2 linked regions of the Canis lupus familiaris genome follow. The protein of the gene in region 1 interacts with the protein of each later gene in a pairwise test. Links are inferred from orthologs where the notes say so. Each region holds a gene or a part of one and is shown in the gene's direction. Other genes may lie near its edges.

The links.
Region 2: the proteins of KLC3 (region 1) and BICDL2 interact in binary tests that used the Homo sapiens proteins (3 or more experiments, as listed by UniProt). The two-hybrid records come from large-scale screens. The link is inferred for Canis lupus familiaris from reciprocal best matches to the Homo sapiens genes KLC3 and BICDL2.

Annotation. Positions count from the first base shown.
Region 1 is NC_049222.1:110,904,716-110,912,813, reverse strand, and holds the start of KLC3 (kinesin light chain 3), read left to right. Parts: upstream 1-3,057; 5' UTR 3,058-3,100; coding exon 3,101-3,161; intron 3,162-5,671; coding exon 5,672-5,937; intron 5,938-6,424; coding exon 6,425-6,655; intron 6,656-6,952; coding exon 6,953-7,022; intron 7,023-7,390; coding exon 7,391-7,610; intron 7,611-7,931; coding exon 7,932-8,019; intron 8,020-8,092; coding exon 8,093-8,098. UniProt on the Homo sapiens protein: Kinesin is a microtubule-associated force-producing protein that may play a role in organelle transport. Plays a role during spermiogenesis in the development of the sperm tail midpiece and in the normal function of spermatozoa.
Region 2 is NC_049227.1:38,602,210-38,608,428, forward strand, and holds the end of BICDL2 (BICD family-like cargo adapter 2), read left to right. Parts: intron 1-625; coding exon 626-841; intron 842-973; coding exon 974-1,090; intron 1,091-1,166; coding exon 1,167-1,313; intron 1,314-2,132; coding exon 2,133-2,324; intron 2,325-2,424; coding exon 2,425-2,574; intron 2,575-2,956; coding exon 2,957-3,087; intron 3,088-3,230; coding exon 3,231-3,351; intron 3,352-3,448; coding exon 3,449-3,610; 3' UTR 3,611-3,914; downstream 3,915-6,219. Other genes in the region: THOC6 (THO complex subunit 6 homolog), read right to left, coding at 4,034-4,114, 4,203-4,337, 4,421-4,531, 4,629-4,691, 4,785-4,834, 4,922-5,024, 5,115-5,186, 5,296-5,344 and 4 more.

The DNA of each region.
Region 1 (8,098 bases):
GGCTGAAACGTGGGGGAGCCCGGGCGGCTGCCAGGCCCCTGTGGGGGCGGAGAGGGCTTCCTGGAGGAGGGAACAGCTGCACTGGAGCTCAGAGAACAAGGGAGCAGAGGGCAGGTGGGCCTTGGCTCTGAGGGAAGAGGCGGGTCTGCGCGGCAGCCTGAGGCCGGGATCACGGACCAGCAGCGCCCTCTGCTGGAAGCATCCTGAAGGGAGCGGTCGAGGTACTGCAAGGGTTTGGAAAAGTTTGGCGTTGAACCAAATTCTATGATCTGAGATCTGAGATTCCTGTGCGCCCAGCTTTGGCCGATTTAAGTTTCTAAGACTTGATTCATTCAACTACTCAGTGAGCAAGCACTTTGCACCGGACTCTATTCTAGCGCTAGTGATGCAGTGCTGACCATACAGAGCCCTGTCCATACAGTACCTCATTCAGTCTTCGCAGCCTTTATCCCCATTTCACAGATTCAGAGAATTGACACACACAGAGGTTAAGTTACTTGCCCAAGGCCTTCACTACCAAATGCTGAAAATCAACTTCGAACCCAGAGCCCAATTTCTAGTCCTTGCAATTACCTCGCTAATATATTATGGAATGAAATATCGTATGACCAAGTTACATAAAATAATCTTAGGTCCTGAGAAGTTTTGTAAACAGCAGGCAGGGGAGGGACACCTGTGTGACTCAGCTGGTTAAGCATCTGCCTTTGGCTCAAATCGTGATCTCAGGGTCCTGGTATCGAGTCTGGCTCCCTGCTAAGTGGGGAGGGAGCCTGCTTCTCCCTCTCCCTCTGCCTGACGCTCCCCTGCTTGTGCTCTCTCTGTCTGTCAAATAACTAAATCCTTAAAAAAGAGATGAAGCAGGGAAATGGAGTAGTGTTTTGGTGAGACAGTGTCATTAGAAAGGGCAACTAATATTCAACAAAGGAGGAAAGACTATCCACTGGAACAGTCTCTTCAATAAATGGTGCTGGGAAAATTGGACATCCACATGCAGAAGAATGAAACTGGACGATTCTCTTACATCATACACAAAGATAAACTCAAAATGGATGAAAGATCTAAATGTGAGACAAGATTCCATCAAAATCCTAGAGGAGAACACAGGCAACACCTTTTTGAACTTGGCCACAGTAACTTCTTGCAAGATACATTCATGAAGGCAAGAGAAACAAAAGCAAAAATGAACTATTGGGACTTCATCAAGATAAGAAGCTTTTGCACAGCAAAGGATACAGTCAACAAAACTAAAAGACAACCTACAGAATGGGAGAAGATATTTGCAAATGACCTATCAGATAAAGGGCTAGTATCCAAGATCTATAAGAACTTATTAAACTCAACAGCAAAGAAACAAACAATCCAAAAATGAAATGGGCAAAAGACACGAAGAGAAATCTCACAGAGGAAGACATAGACATGGCCAACACGCACATGAGAAAATGTTCCGCATCACTGGCCATCGGGGAAATACAAATCAAAACCACAATGAGATACCACCTCACACCAGTGAGAATGGGGAAAATTAACAAGGCAGGAAACCACAAATGTTGGAGAGGATGCAGAGAAAAGGGAACCCTCTTGCACTGTTGGTGGGAATGTGAACTGGTGCAGCCATTGTGGAAAACTGTGTGGAGGTTCCTCAAAGAGTTAAAAATAGACCTGCCCTACCACCCAGCAATTGCACTGCTGGGGATTTACCCCAAAGATACAGATGCAATGAAACGCCGGGACACCTGCACCCCGATGTTTCTAGCAGCAATGTCCACAATAGCCACACTGTAGAAGGAGCCTCGGTGTCCATCGAAAGATGAATGGATAAAGAAGATGTGGTTTACTATACAATGGAATATTCCTCAGCCATTAGAAATGACAAATACCCACCATCTGCTTCGACGTGGATGGAACTGGAGGGTATTATGCTGAGTGAAATAAGTCAATCGGAGAAGGACAAACATTATATGGTCTCATTCATTTGGGGAATATAAAAAATAGTGAAAGGTAATAAAGGGGAAAGGAGAAAAAATGAGTGGGAAATATCAGAGAGGGGGACAGAACATGAGAGACTCCTAACTCTGGGAAACGAACAAGGGGTAGTGGAAGGGGAGGTGGGTGGGGGTGGGGGTGACTGGGTGACGGGCACTGAGGGGGGCACTTGATGGGATGAGCACTGGGTGTTATGCTATATGCTGGCAAATTGAACTCCAATAGTTTTTTTTTTTAAAGAAAAAAGGGCCAGTAGGGAAGGCCTCTCGGAGGAAGCGGCCTTTGTGAAGCTACCAGACTAACGAATGGCGTCTGTGGGAATAGGGGGGGCCCAGGCAGCGGGCACAGCCGAAGGCAAGGCCGGGCGGCGGGCGCTGCTAGAAAGCCCTCGGCCTGGGATCCCTAGTTTCCAAGGGTCGAGCTGCGCTGCACCCCGGCTTGGCAGCCTCCAGCGCGCTGGGCTCGCGCTCAGATTCGACGGGCCCGACAGGCACGCGGAGGGCTTCGCGGGTCCGCTGCTGCGCTGGCGCTTCCCCCGCGGCGGGCGGGCTGGGCTCCGCGGGAGCGGCGGGGGGCGGGGCGGGCTCACCTGCGGGGGCGGGGCTTCCGCCCGCCCCGCCCCTCGGAGGAGCCGCCCGCGGCCCGAGACCCAGGGCGCAGCTGGGAGCCGCCGGGCGTGCGCGGTGTGCGGGACGCGGCCCGGCGCATCTCGGCGGAGCGGGTCCCGGAGCCGCCGGCGCTCAGGTGGGCCCCTCGAGTGCTGGGCGGGGGAGTCCCGGGGACCGCGAGGATGGGGGCGGAGGGTGAGGGCTGGGCCCCGCGCACCCTGGGGCCCGCTGGCCTGGCGACGGGGACGGGCCTTGGGGCTCCTGGGCCCCCTGGGCCCTCCTGCCCCGCCCTGGGGCCCCCCCTCCCGGGTCCCGAGGCCCAGCTGGGGCCGCGCCCCCTCCCCGGTGCGCAGGTAAACAGGAGCGAAGACGGGGCGGGGCCTGGGGGGAGGAGGGCGGGGGCCCTTGTGACGGCGGGGGTGGGGAAGCCGGGGTGCGCGGGGCTGGGCCAGGCCGGCCGCGGTAAGGTGTGCGGTTTAGGGGGCTGGCCTGCAGGTGCGGGCGTGGAGATGGGGCGTATGAGAGGCGGTGTGCGAGGCTCAGGTGTGTGTGATGGTGTACGAAGCTCAGGTGTGTGCGCGACGGGCTCCGGCGGTGGGTGCGGGCGAGGAAGGGACAGGGATGGTCCGTGTAACCGTGTGCGGGCGCCCAGGGACTGTGGGAACGACGTGGAGCTGTCTCAGATGCAACACGTGGGCGGACCTCTGTGCGTCTAATGATGGGGGTGGGGGCCGTGTGTATGGGAGGGAGTTGCTCTGTTTATAGGATTAGGTGCGTGACTCAGAGCTTGCGTGGCTGGGGCGGTCTTTCTGCCTGTTAAGGCGCGGGGAGCCGCAGGGAGGTGGGCGATGTGGGACCCGCATGGACGGGGAGGGTGTGCCTGGGATTAACACTGTCAGCTGTGCGGTTGTACGTGTGTGAAAGGGAGTTTGTTGTTCACGGGACTGAGTGTGGGCAAAAATCATGGGAATAATGGAGCTGTCTGAATGACTCCATGAACGTGTGATCGTAACTTTGTGGGGCTTGTGTGTGACACGGAGTATGGTGAGACATGTACACACATATATACGTATAGTGAGAGAGACTGGTGTCTGCACACACGTATATGTAGAGATTGATGGCAGGGGAGAGCCTGCAGTGTAGAAAATCCGTGGATTATGTGCCTGCCTTCCTGTGTGTCTTGGTGTATGATGTTCGTGAGCAGGTAAGTAGGTACCCAAACCACTAGGCTGCTTACGGCGCCCTGGTGGCTTGAGTGAGGCACATGCCCGAGAGGGTCTATGCAAACACCTCTCTGTGTCTCCACAACTGAATCTGAGTTCAGGAATTGTCTGTATGTCCGTGTTTGAAGCTCTGTGTATCTGTGTGTATGCTGTGTGCAGGTGCGTGAATCTCTGGCTGGCCGGGCAAGGTGTTGGGGGAAGTGGGGAAGGAGATGATAGGTCCACAGTGAATCCCAAGAGTGTGTGTGTGTGTGTGTGTGTGTGTGTGTGTGTGTGTGCGCGCGCGCGCGCATGCGTGCCTGGAGGAGGTGATGGGCATGTAATGGAGAGCTAGCTGCTTGCAGGACCTTATAAGTGCGGGAAAGGTGTGTCATGGGGGTAACTGCAAAGAGATAGCCTGAATGTGAGTGATTTGGGATTTGGTTATCTTTTCACTAGTGAGGGGGGACAGAGTTTCTGTGTGTGTTGGCTTTTTTTCCCAAGAGGAAAATACACCAGTGTGTGGGATTATATTTCCAAGAGGGGAGAGCATACATGTGTTGTTTCTGAAAGAGTATGTGGGTGTGCGTGCACGAGCCTGAGTAAGTGTGTTGCGTTTTTTTTTTTTTTTTTTAAGATTTTATTTGAGAGAGAGAATGAGCCAGGGGAAGAGCAGAGGGAGAGGGAGAAGCCTATTGTGGGACCCAATTCTGGAACCCCTGGATCATACTTGAGCTGAAGGCAGGCGCTTAACTGAGCCACCCAGGCACCCTTGGATTAGGTTTTTTGAAAGGAAAATGTGGATGTGTAGGATTGTATTTTTATTTTTTAGAGGAGAAAGAGAGTGTCCTGTATGTCTTGCTTCAGAGAAAATGTATATTATGTTTTTAAGAAAGAAAGGAGTGTGCATGTTGAGCCGTCTTCTTGTAGAGGGGAGTGTGTGTGTGTACGAGCAGGTGTGTTTCTGAGAAAGTACGTATATATTGCACTGCATTTGAAAAAAGAAAGAGCAGGTATTCAGTTTCTGAGAGGAGGAGAACGTGTGTGTCGCATTGTGTATTTAAGAAGGGAGGGTGTGCGTGTGTTGGGGTCTGTTTCTGGGAGGGGAGTGAGTGTGCTTGTGTGTGAATACAGAGGCTACAGAGGCTCCAGCAGCTGTGTCATTGACTTTGTCACCTACATACAACCACATAAAGTGCCACACATGAGACCCCCACCCATTAGCATCTAGGCCTCAGACTCTGAGCTGTCACAGGGCTAGTGTGACATCCATGGGCCGTGCCTGTCACACGTGTGTCCCAACATGCCTTGGGCTGGCGGAGCCTGTCTGCAGTGGAGGGTGGAGTCCTTGTTCCCTTGGGATCCATCAGGCCCTGGGAGCTGACACACAGGCACCCCCCCATCCCCCTAAATCTAGAGGGCTCCTCTGCTTCCAGTGCCCCAGCCCCTTGGCCCTCTCCTCCGGCCCCACCCCTCCAGCCCCAGTGGTCCGACTGGTTCCCAACAAAAACACCCTAAGAATGAGCTCACGGAGAGGCCGCCTCCACATGCCCCGCCCCACACACCCAGCAGAGGCGTGTGCCTCCAGTCCAGGTCACACGGGGAGTCCTGGGGCCAGGTATCTGGGGCCCTTGGGATAGACAGGGCTGGCCAGGTGAGCTGAGGGCAGGTGAGAGGCCACGAGACCACTGGTTGCCCCAGATTTTGAGTGGCCCTCAGGGCAGGGCCCATGGCTGAGGACAGGCAAAGCTAGACTAGAATGTTTCCAGTTGCCAGCTGGCTGGGATGGGTGCGGGACAGGGAGCCGGCCAGGGTGAGGAGGGACTGATGGGCCTGCTTGCCTGGCCCTGACCCCCCAATCCCTGCTACCCACCCCAGGAACAGCAATGTCCGTGCAGGTGGCAGCCCCTGGAAGTGTGGGGCTGGGCCCGGAGCGCCTGAGCCCCGAGGAGCTGGTGCGGCAGACGCGACAAGTGGTGCAGGGGTTGGAGGCCCTGCGAGCAGAGCACCATGGCCTGGCCAGGCACCTGGCGGAGGCGCTGGCAGGACAGGGCCTGGTGGCTGGCTTGGAACTGCTGGAAGAAAAGCAGCAGGTGGTGAGCCACGCGCTGGAGGCCATCGAGCTGGGACTGGGCGAGGCCCAGGTATGGGGGGGGGAGCAGCTATCCAGCCATGGGGGGGGAGGCTCAGAGCTGGGAGGAGGCCCGGGATGAGGGAGGCAAGTATGTAGGGGGTGATGAGCCTGGAGCAGGGGAGGCCTAGGGGAGCCAGGCCTGGGGAGGAGGGGTTCTAGGCTGGAAATGGGATCCCTGGGTGGCATTAGGGGGTCCTTTTGTGTGACAGGAGCCCCTGAACCAATGGCATCCATCTATAGAACTGTAGATTCTAGGGAGATGTTGGGGTCACATGGGTAGGATATGAAGTGGCCCTACACGTGATTTGTGTGCCTGAATGAAATCAGAAGGGTCCCTGGGTGGGGTTTGGGTGTGCCCTTGGGAGTTTCTGCACATCCTCAGAGTCACTTGGAAGGGCCAAGAGTTGGGGTGCTCTGGCATGACATGAGGCCCTGGGTTGGGCCAGGGACTGCCTGGTAGGAGAGGGACTGGGCCCCTGATCCCCGGCCCCCTGCAGGTGCTGCTGGCCCTGTCCGCGCACGTGGGCTCCCTGGAGGCGGAGAAGCAGCGGCTGCGAGCGCAGGCCCGGCGGCTGGCCCAGGAGAACTCGTGGCTGCGGGAGGAGCTGGAGGAGACGCAGCGGCGCCTCCGGGCCAGCGAGGAGGCCGTGGCCCAACTGGAGGAGGAGAAGAGCCACCTGGAGTTCCTGGGGCAGCTGCGCCAGTATGACCCCCCTGCCGAGAGCCAGGTGCTGCAGGGCTGGGCAAGCCAGGGGGCCCCCATCCTCCTTAGATCCCCCACAGACCTGTACCACTCCATGGAGCCCCCAGTGCCCTAGACCCTCCAAAGAAGCCCTAGACCTTCGACAGGGTTCCACAACCCCCAGACTCAGTAAAATTTCCACAGAAGCCCTCCCAGCTTCCACAAAATCCCCAGATCTTCCCCAAGCCCTCAGAAACCCCCCTCAAACTCGGAGGTCCAGGACCCTGGTCTCTAAAGCAAACTCCCAGCCCTCTTTGACTCCTCACTTTCCTGCCCTCTGCAGCGGCCTGAATCCCCTCCTCGACGAGACAGCCTAACCCCCCTGTTCTCCAGCGAGGAGGAAGAGAGGAAAGGTGGGTGTGGGGGAGCACGCAATTGTTGGGCCACTCGGCCACGGAGGATAAGAGGCTGAGGCCGGGGAGGGACGGAGACCCAAGGTGGATGTCAGGGCAGGGCGGCAGGAGCATGAGGCAAGGGGCCGGGCCAGGGCGCATGACAGCCGAGGCTGGAAGCTGTGAAACCAGGCGTGCCACAGCCGCACCCGCCAGGCGGACCCCGCGTTCACATCCCATGAACCAATCTCCAAGGTCAGTGCGGGGATCCGTCATCCCAGGGACCAATGGGCCAGTGAGGCAGCTATAGCCCTGGAGTATGTTCCTCTTTTTGGGGATGGGAAGGGTGGGAGGCTGGCAGTGACCTGATGTCCATCTGCCACTCGCAGGCCCTGAGGCAGCGGGGGCGGCAGCGGCTCAGCAGGGTGGCTACGAGATCCCAGCCCGCCTTCGGACCCTGCACAACCTTGTGATCCAGTACGCAGGGCAGGGCCGCTACGAGGTTGCTGTGCCACTGTGCCGCCAGGCCTTAGAGGACCTGGAACGGAGCTCGGGCCACTGCCACCCCGATGTGGCCACCATGCTCAACATCCTGGCGCTGGTGTACCGGTGAGGGCTGCGGCCGGCCACGGACCCATTGCTGGGGGCAGGGGAGCTGGCGTCCCACTCTGCCAGCATGGGGCACCTGGATTGGTGGTAGCAGGGGGTGTCGACAGGGATCTGGAGAAGCCAGTGATCCAAGCAAGGAGTCAGACAACCATAGGCAAGAGACCTGTGGGGGCTGGAGGCTTGACAGCAAAGGGACCCTGTGCCAGACTTGGAAAGTGTGGCTCACAAGCGACCATGGAAGGGCGCCTGCCACCCAGGCTTGGCCCGGCAGGTGCTGCCCCAGCATGTCTGACCCCCCTCCATCCCTGGGCCACATCACAGGGACCAGAACAAGTACAAAGAGGCCACAGACCTTCTCCATGATGCCCTGCAGATCCGGGAGCAGACACTGGGCCCTGAGCACCCTGCGGTGAGTGGGGGCCCAGGAGTGAGGGCCGTGGGGTGGAGCCTACCGCCCCTGACCTGCCTCCCCGACCCTGCAGGTGGCT
Region 2 (6,219 bases), on another chromosome or scaffold:
AACAACTGGCCCAGCAGGAGCGCCTGCTAATAATTGCAGCAGCGATATGGTCAGTACCACCTTCCTGCTTTGAGAGTTTATGGGGGCAGGGGCCGAAGCTGCCCCCCCACTTGCCGCCTCCCCAAGCGGGGGACCTGGGTGTGCCAAGAGCGTCCCCCTGCTGGTTGGACAGGTTTTGGAGAGGGCATGCAGAGGCACGGAGCCCAGGCGGGGCTGGCCAGGGTTAATTAGAGGGAGCTGGCCAAGAGGCGCTGGGGGTGAGGGGCTGAGCAGAGGCTGAACCTCCAGAGCCCCTGGAGCATCGGTGTGCGAGGCCATGGGCCGGGGCTTCCATTCTGCCAGACTCAGACGCCAAAAACGGCGCCTGCGATCTCGGCTCCAGAAGCCCAGGCAGCAGCCAGAGGTGAGTGGGCATCGGGGAGCCCCGCTCCACTCCGGTCCCGGTCAGCTCCTCCTGACCTGGAAACCCACCTCCCCGAGACTCTGCCTTAGGCTCCCTGCCTGCTCCTCCAGCTGGCTTCCCTGCATGGCGTGTCTGCGTGTCTCGGCCCGCTCGGACGCCCTCTGGGTCCGCGTGCTTACTGCCTCACCTCCCTGTCCCTGACTCTGTGTTGCGGCCCCACAGCGGCTGCAGCAGGAGAACCATGAGCTCCGCCAGGGCCTGGCAGCCCGGGGAGCCGAGTGGGAGGCCAGAGCGGTGGAGCTGGAGGGGGACGTGGAGGCCCTGCGGGCCCAGCTCGGGGAGCAGCGTTCAGAGCAGCAGGACAGCGGGCGTGAGCGGGCACGGGCCCTCACTGAACTCAGCGAGCAGAACCTCCGGCTCAGCCAGCAGCTCGCCCAGGTGGGAGCATGCTGACCCCACATCCCCAGGCAGGACCAGGGCAGATGGCTGTGTCCCCGTGTGGGGGTGGGTGCACTGGGCTTGGTGGTAAGGCTTGGACCAGCGAGGCCTCCCCCGCCTTCCCCTCTACAGGCCTCCCAGACTGAGCAGGAACTTCAGAGGGAACTGGATGGCCTTCGGGGGCAGTGCCAGGCTCAGGTCCTGGCAGGAGCAGAGCTGAGGATGCGGCTGGAGAGTCTGCAAGGGGAGGTGAGTCCCAGCTGGGGCTGGGGGCCGTCTGGGGCTGGCCCAGCACTTCCCCTCCAGCCCTGAGGTCTTTCCCCAGAACCAGATGCTGCAGAGCCGCCGGCAGGACCTGGAGGCCCAGATCCGGGACCTGCGCGAGGAGGTGGAGAAGGGCCAGGGCAGGCTACAGGCAACCCATGAAGAGCTGCTGCTGCTGAGGCGCGAGAAGCGAGAGCATAGCCTGGAGGTGACCAGTGGGGCTGGGCGGGGTGGGTGCATCTGACCAGGGCATTGACCACTGCCTCAGGGCTTCCTGGGAGATGAGGCCAAGCTGGATCACTGGGAGCCCCAGAAGCTGGGCCAGGAGAGCCTGGGCATTAGCCAAAGGGCAAGTGGGAGCCTCAGAAGGGTATTGAGCAGGGGTGGTATGCTTTTAGAGGGCATCAGAGCCTGGCACTTGGGAGGCCAGGGCGGAGGCTGGGGCCAGAGATGACCGGGACTTGGACTAGGTCTGGGGCAGTGGAGATGAGCAAAAGGAAATGACAAGAGGCAGCATGGGCCGATGTTCGAGGTCTTTGTGGTCAAATAATATGGGCTCTTATCCCAACACCCCTTCTTACTATTGTGGGACGCCCAGCCTCAGTTTCCTTGTCTGCGAGATGGGATGGGAATGGTAGAGCGCCGCGGTGAGGGTGAGACACGAGTAGGGCGCTGGATGACCCATTAACGATTTGGGCCAACAGGTCGGGGGAAGGGGAGGGACTCTGCCAGGTGACCTGATGGGGCGGGGCTGGAGGGAGGGTGATGGGAAAATTTAAAGCGAGGGCACCTGTCCGCACCCTACTTTATAGATGAGGAAATTGGTATCCGCCAGGGGCAACTGCGCGCCCAAGGCCGCCGGCCGTCGGCCGTCCAGAGAGGAGCCAGCTGCTGGGGCGCCACGGCGCGCGGGCTGCCCGGCTCTCGGTGGCGCGCCGGCGCCCCCAGCAGGTCGAGGCGGGATGAGGCCGCCGGGCGCACGGGGCGGACTGCGCATGCTCCTGTCCGCCTGTCTGTCCCTCCGCAGCTGGAGCGCGCGCGCTGCGAGGCGGGGGAGGCGTTGAGAGCGCTGCGGGGGCTGCAGAGGCGCGTCTCGGAGCTGGAGGAGGAGTCGCGCCTTCGGGACGCCGACTTGTCGGGAGCCTCACTGCAGTCGGAGCTGGCTCACAGCCTCGACAGCGGCCAGGACCCGAAGGCTGACGCCCGCGGAGCTGCCCCGGTGAGCTGGCGCCCCCCGGCCCCCGTGCCCTGCAGACTCCGCCGCGCCCCCTTCGCGCAGGAGGTCCGACACCTCGCTGACCCATCCCTTTGGTCAACAGAACACTCCGTCCCCCGAGATCCAAGAAGCGTTCAGCCACCAGCCTTCGCCCCAAGAGGAGAGCTTGGAGCCTCCCAAGAAGCGAGCATCCCTGAGGCCAGGGGATATACTAGAGGAGAAGGAGGCCGAAGTGGCCGGGCTTCAGGATGAGGTGTGGGAGTGGGAGCATAGCGCTGGACGCGGAGCCCATTCCAACGCCAGTTTCTCTTGCCCATCTACACCTCTGAGCCTGCGCCCCTCTACCTGGATCTATCTTCATCCCAACAAACCTGTAGTCATGCTTCAAGAGCTGGCCGTACGCCACCTCTTCCAGGAAGACTTCCTGGACCACATTCCCCTCCTTGGTCCCACCTCCTAGTGCTTCCACCAGCATCCTTTCTGCAGACTTACACCACCCAACCGACCCTGCCCCACCTCACCCTGCGCCAGCCCGGGGGCTCAGCTTGGTCTCCAGCACAGGCTGCGGCTGCGGGGAGGGTCTGTGGGGCTGGCGGAGGGCCTGGCTGCCCCTCCTCACCTTTCCCTGCCCACAGGTCGCGCTGCAGCGGGCAGAGCTACAGTCTCTGCGGGAGGAGCTGCAAAGGCAGAAGGAGCTGCGGACGCATGGCGACCCCGACGAGGCCCTCAGCGGCGCCCTCTCGGACCGGGACGAAGCTGTGAACAAGTGAGCCTCTCCACCGTCCACCCCGGCCTCCGCACCCACCAGCGGCCCTCCGACCCTGTTTTCGGTGTTAGCCGCACCGCTCCCGTCCGGGTCCGGCAGCTCCCGCCACCCCCGGGCCCACTCTCTGCCCCTCTTGCCCGCAGGGCGCTGGAACTGTCCCTGGAGCTCGGCCGCGTCTCTCTGGAGCGGGACTCGCTCTCCCGGGAGCTGCTTCGCACTATCCGCCAGAAGGTGGCGCTGACGCAAGAGCTGGAGGCCTGGCAGGTGAGGGGCGGGGCCGGCGGGGGCGGGGCCGGGGCCGGCGTCTGGGAGGCGTGGCCGACACGTGGCCACGCGGACCGACTGAGCCGCCCGCCCGCAGGACGACATGCAGGTGGTGATCGGCCAGCAGCTGCGCTCCCAACGACAGAAGGAGCTAAGTGCGGCGGGAGCCGTCCCGCGCCGCGCCGCCCCGCGCTTCTCGCTGCGCCTGGGTCCTGGGCCCGCCGGCGGCTTCCTAAGCAACCTCTTCCGAAGGACCTGAAGGCCGGGCCATGGGGGCCGCCGGTGCCTTCTGGCTTCCTTTCCTCTAATGGTCCTGAGCGTCTTCCAGAGGGGCCTGGTGCCCTCCCCACCCCGGGAAGCTGGGCAAAGGCTCGTTGGGAGCAGGGACCAGCTTTGGGGGCCAAGGGCCCCAGGTAGGTGGCGGGGCAGGTGAGGCAGAGCTGAGTTTTGAATCTCTATAGGTCTATATTTTCTAAGGGCCTGGCGCGCTGCAGGGCAGGGATGAGGGTGGGTATTTATGTATCAAGATCAAACAGAGTAATATATAAAAATCATGACACCAACTCAGCCTCCATTCTTGAGAAGAACATGCATGGAACAATAGCCTAAAAATTTACTTATTTAATAAAATAAAAAAAAGCAATCTAAATCCCTGGGATGATGGAAGGGGTGTTGCCAGAGGTCAGAAGGACAGGGAGAAGGCGCGGTAGCCGAGATTGGTGAAAACATCCACTCGGGAGCTGTTACCTGCGGCTGTCAGGACCTGGAAGCAGGAGGGCAGTGGCTGGCATGTCCACACACACGTGCCCTACCCCCCCCCATGGACCCCCACAGCCCCTTGCAGGACCCACCTTGCACTCGGGTGCTGCTGGCTGCTGGTTGAGACTAAGGCTAAGCAGCCCTGGGGAGGAGCCAGGCACCTGCGCCTTGAGCTCCCCACTCAGCTGCCACTGGTTGACACAGCGGCCCTGGCCAGCTGACAGAATCTGGAGGGCAGGGAGGGAGTCGGGAGTCAGGATTGGAGAGGGATACTGGGCAAAGGTGGCAGAAGCAAGACAGAGGGCCTCACCAGGTCCTGGTAGAAGGTAACATGTTTCTGTGGCACCCGTATGGGGAAAATAGTCGTGGGTGTGGAGGATCGGAGGTGCCAGAGGGTGAGCGCTGGGCCTCCTCCGCAGACCTGGGCAGAAAGGTGGGGGGCCCCAACCACTGTGAGCATAGTCCCTCAGTTGGCAGGGCCCGGAGTGGTCACCCATTCTGCACCTTGCCCCGCTTACCATCCAGTCTGAGTCAGTTGCCAAACAGCTGATCCAACGCCCATTGTGTGGCCTCGAGCACTCCTAGGGGTGAGGAGGAGAAGAGAGGAGGAGATGAAGACACAGGGGATGCCCAGGGCGGTGAAAGGGAGGACGGGGCCTGGTACGTGCCCTCACCTCATGCTTATATACCTCGATGGTCTGGACTTCCTTGGCTGTGCGGAGGTCTGTGCGGGAAGAACCATGAGAAGCATCCTGCTCACCCCAGTCTCCGTTGCCATGTTTCCCTCCAACCGGACACTACGCTAACCTACCCCAAAGTCGCACAGCTCCATCCTCTCCACCTGACAGCACCTCGGGACTCCGCTCCCGCAGCGCCAGGCAGTGGACATAGTCTGTGTGGCCCCGGAGGGCCCGCTGCAAGAGGAAGCCCAGTGTCAGGAGATCCAGGAAGAATGACCCTACGACCATCCAGCCCTGACCACCCCAGCTCCATGGCCTTCTCACTGTGAAGGTCCCAGTCTCAAGGTCCATTGTATGCAACTGACAGTCTCCCCCTGCCAGGATGAGAGAATTCTCCTGCAGAAGAGGGAAGGGTGGAATCGCAAGTCAGCATCAAATCAGGACAGGGAGAGGAAAAAGGCTTTAAGTTTGGGCAGGGCAGAGCCCCGGTACAAAGGGCTCAGACCTTGGGGACGAGAAGCAAAGCATTGATCTCAGGCACTTCTAGGCTGGTCCTGGGAGAGAGAAAACGAGGTGAGCTCTGGTGAGGCAGTCCCTTCACCCCCAAGTACCTTCTACCCATTACCCACATGGCTCTCACTCACCTGTATGGGGGCTGACGCCGCCACAGCTCCTTACAACCCTTGGTGGAGGGAAATGCTACATGAGGTCAGAGGCTCTCTGGGACCAGGCACCCCAGCCCATCCCCCAATTCCACACTCCTTACCTTCTTGAGGATCTCTGCCCAAAGCCAGGCCTTCACTTCCCCATCCCCAGCACTGAGCAGATGTCGATCTGTGGAGACCATGCTGTAGACCGGTCCATCATGGGCTAGATGGAAATGAAGACCCTGAGTGACCCTGTCCTGCTGCCCTCCCCTACCTGGGGGTTCTCTAAGCCAGACACAATGGCAGCACCCACCTTGGAATGTCACCACTGGCTTCTTACTTTCTTCTTTGGCCTCAGAACTCAGAGCAGCAGACAAGCTGAAGGAATAGGGGAGGGGAGCCTGAGAGTCAGAAGCCGAGGGCGCCAGTCCCAGAGAGTACAAGTGCTAGAACTACTACTGTGTGGTGAAGCAGGGGTGAGGGTACCTGAAGATGGCTATCTGCCCGTAATTGTTGCCAGCTGCCAGGAACTTCCCGCAGGGGGAGACACTCTGGGAAAAAATGGTCATGTGGAGCCGCTGCAGAGCCTGAAACACTTCCATCTGTGGGGAGAGACTGGATGAGGGCCACGTGGGATATCTAGGACTGGAGATTCTGACTCCCTCCTGCCTGCTCGGCTCTCCCACAGCCCAGATCTCACAGCCGGCCTTTGAGGTGCCCCACCAAGTGGGTGCCTGCCCGTATGGCCCAGGGGTTGGTCCAAGAACAGGGTGAGGAAGTGG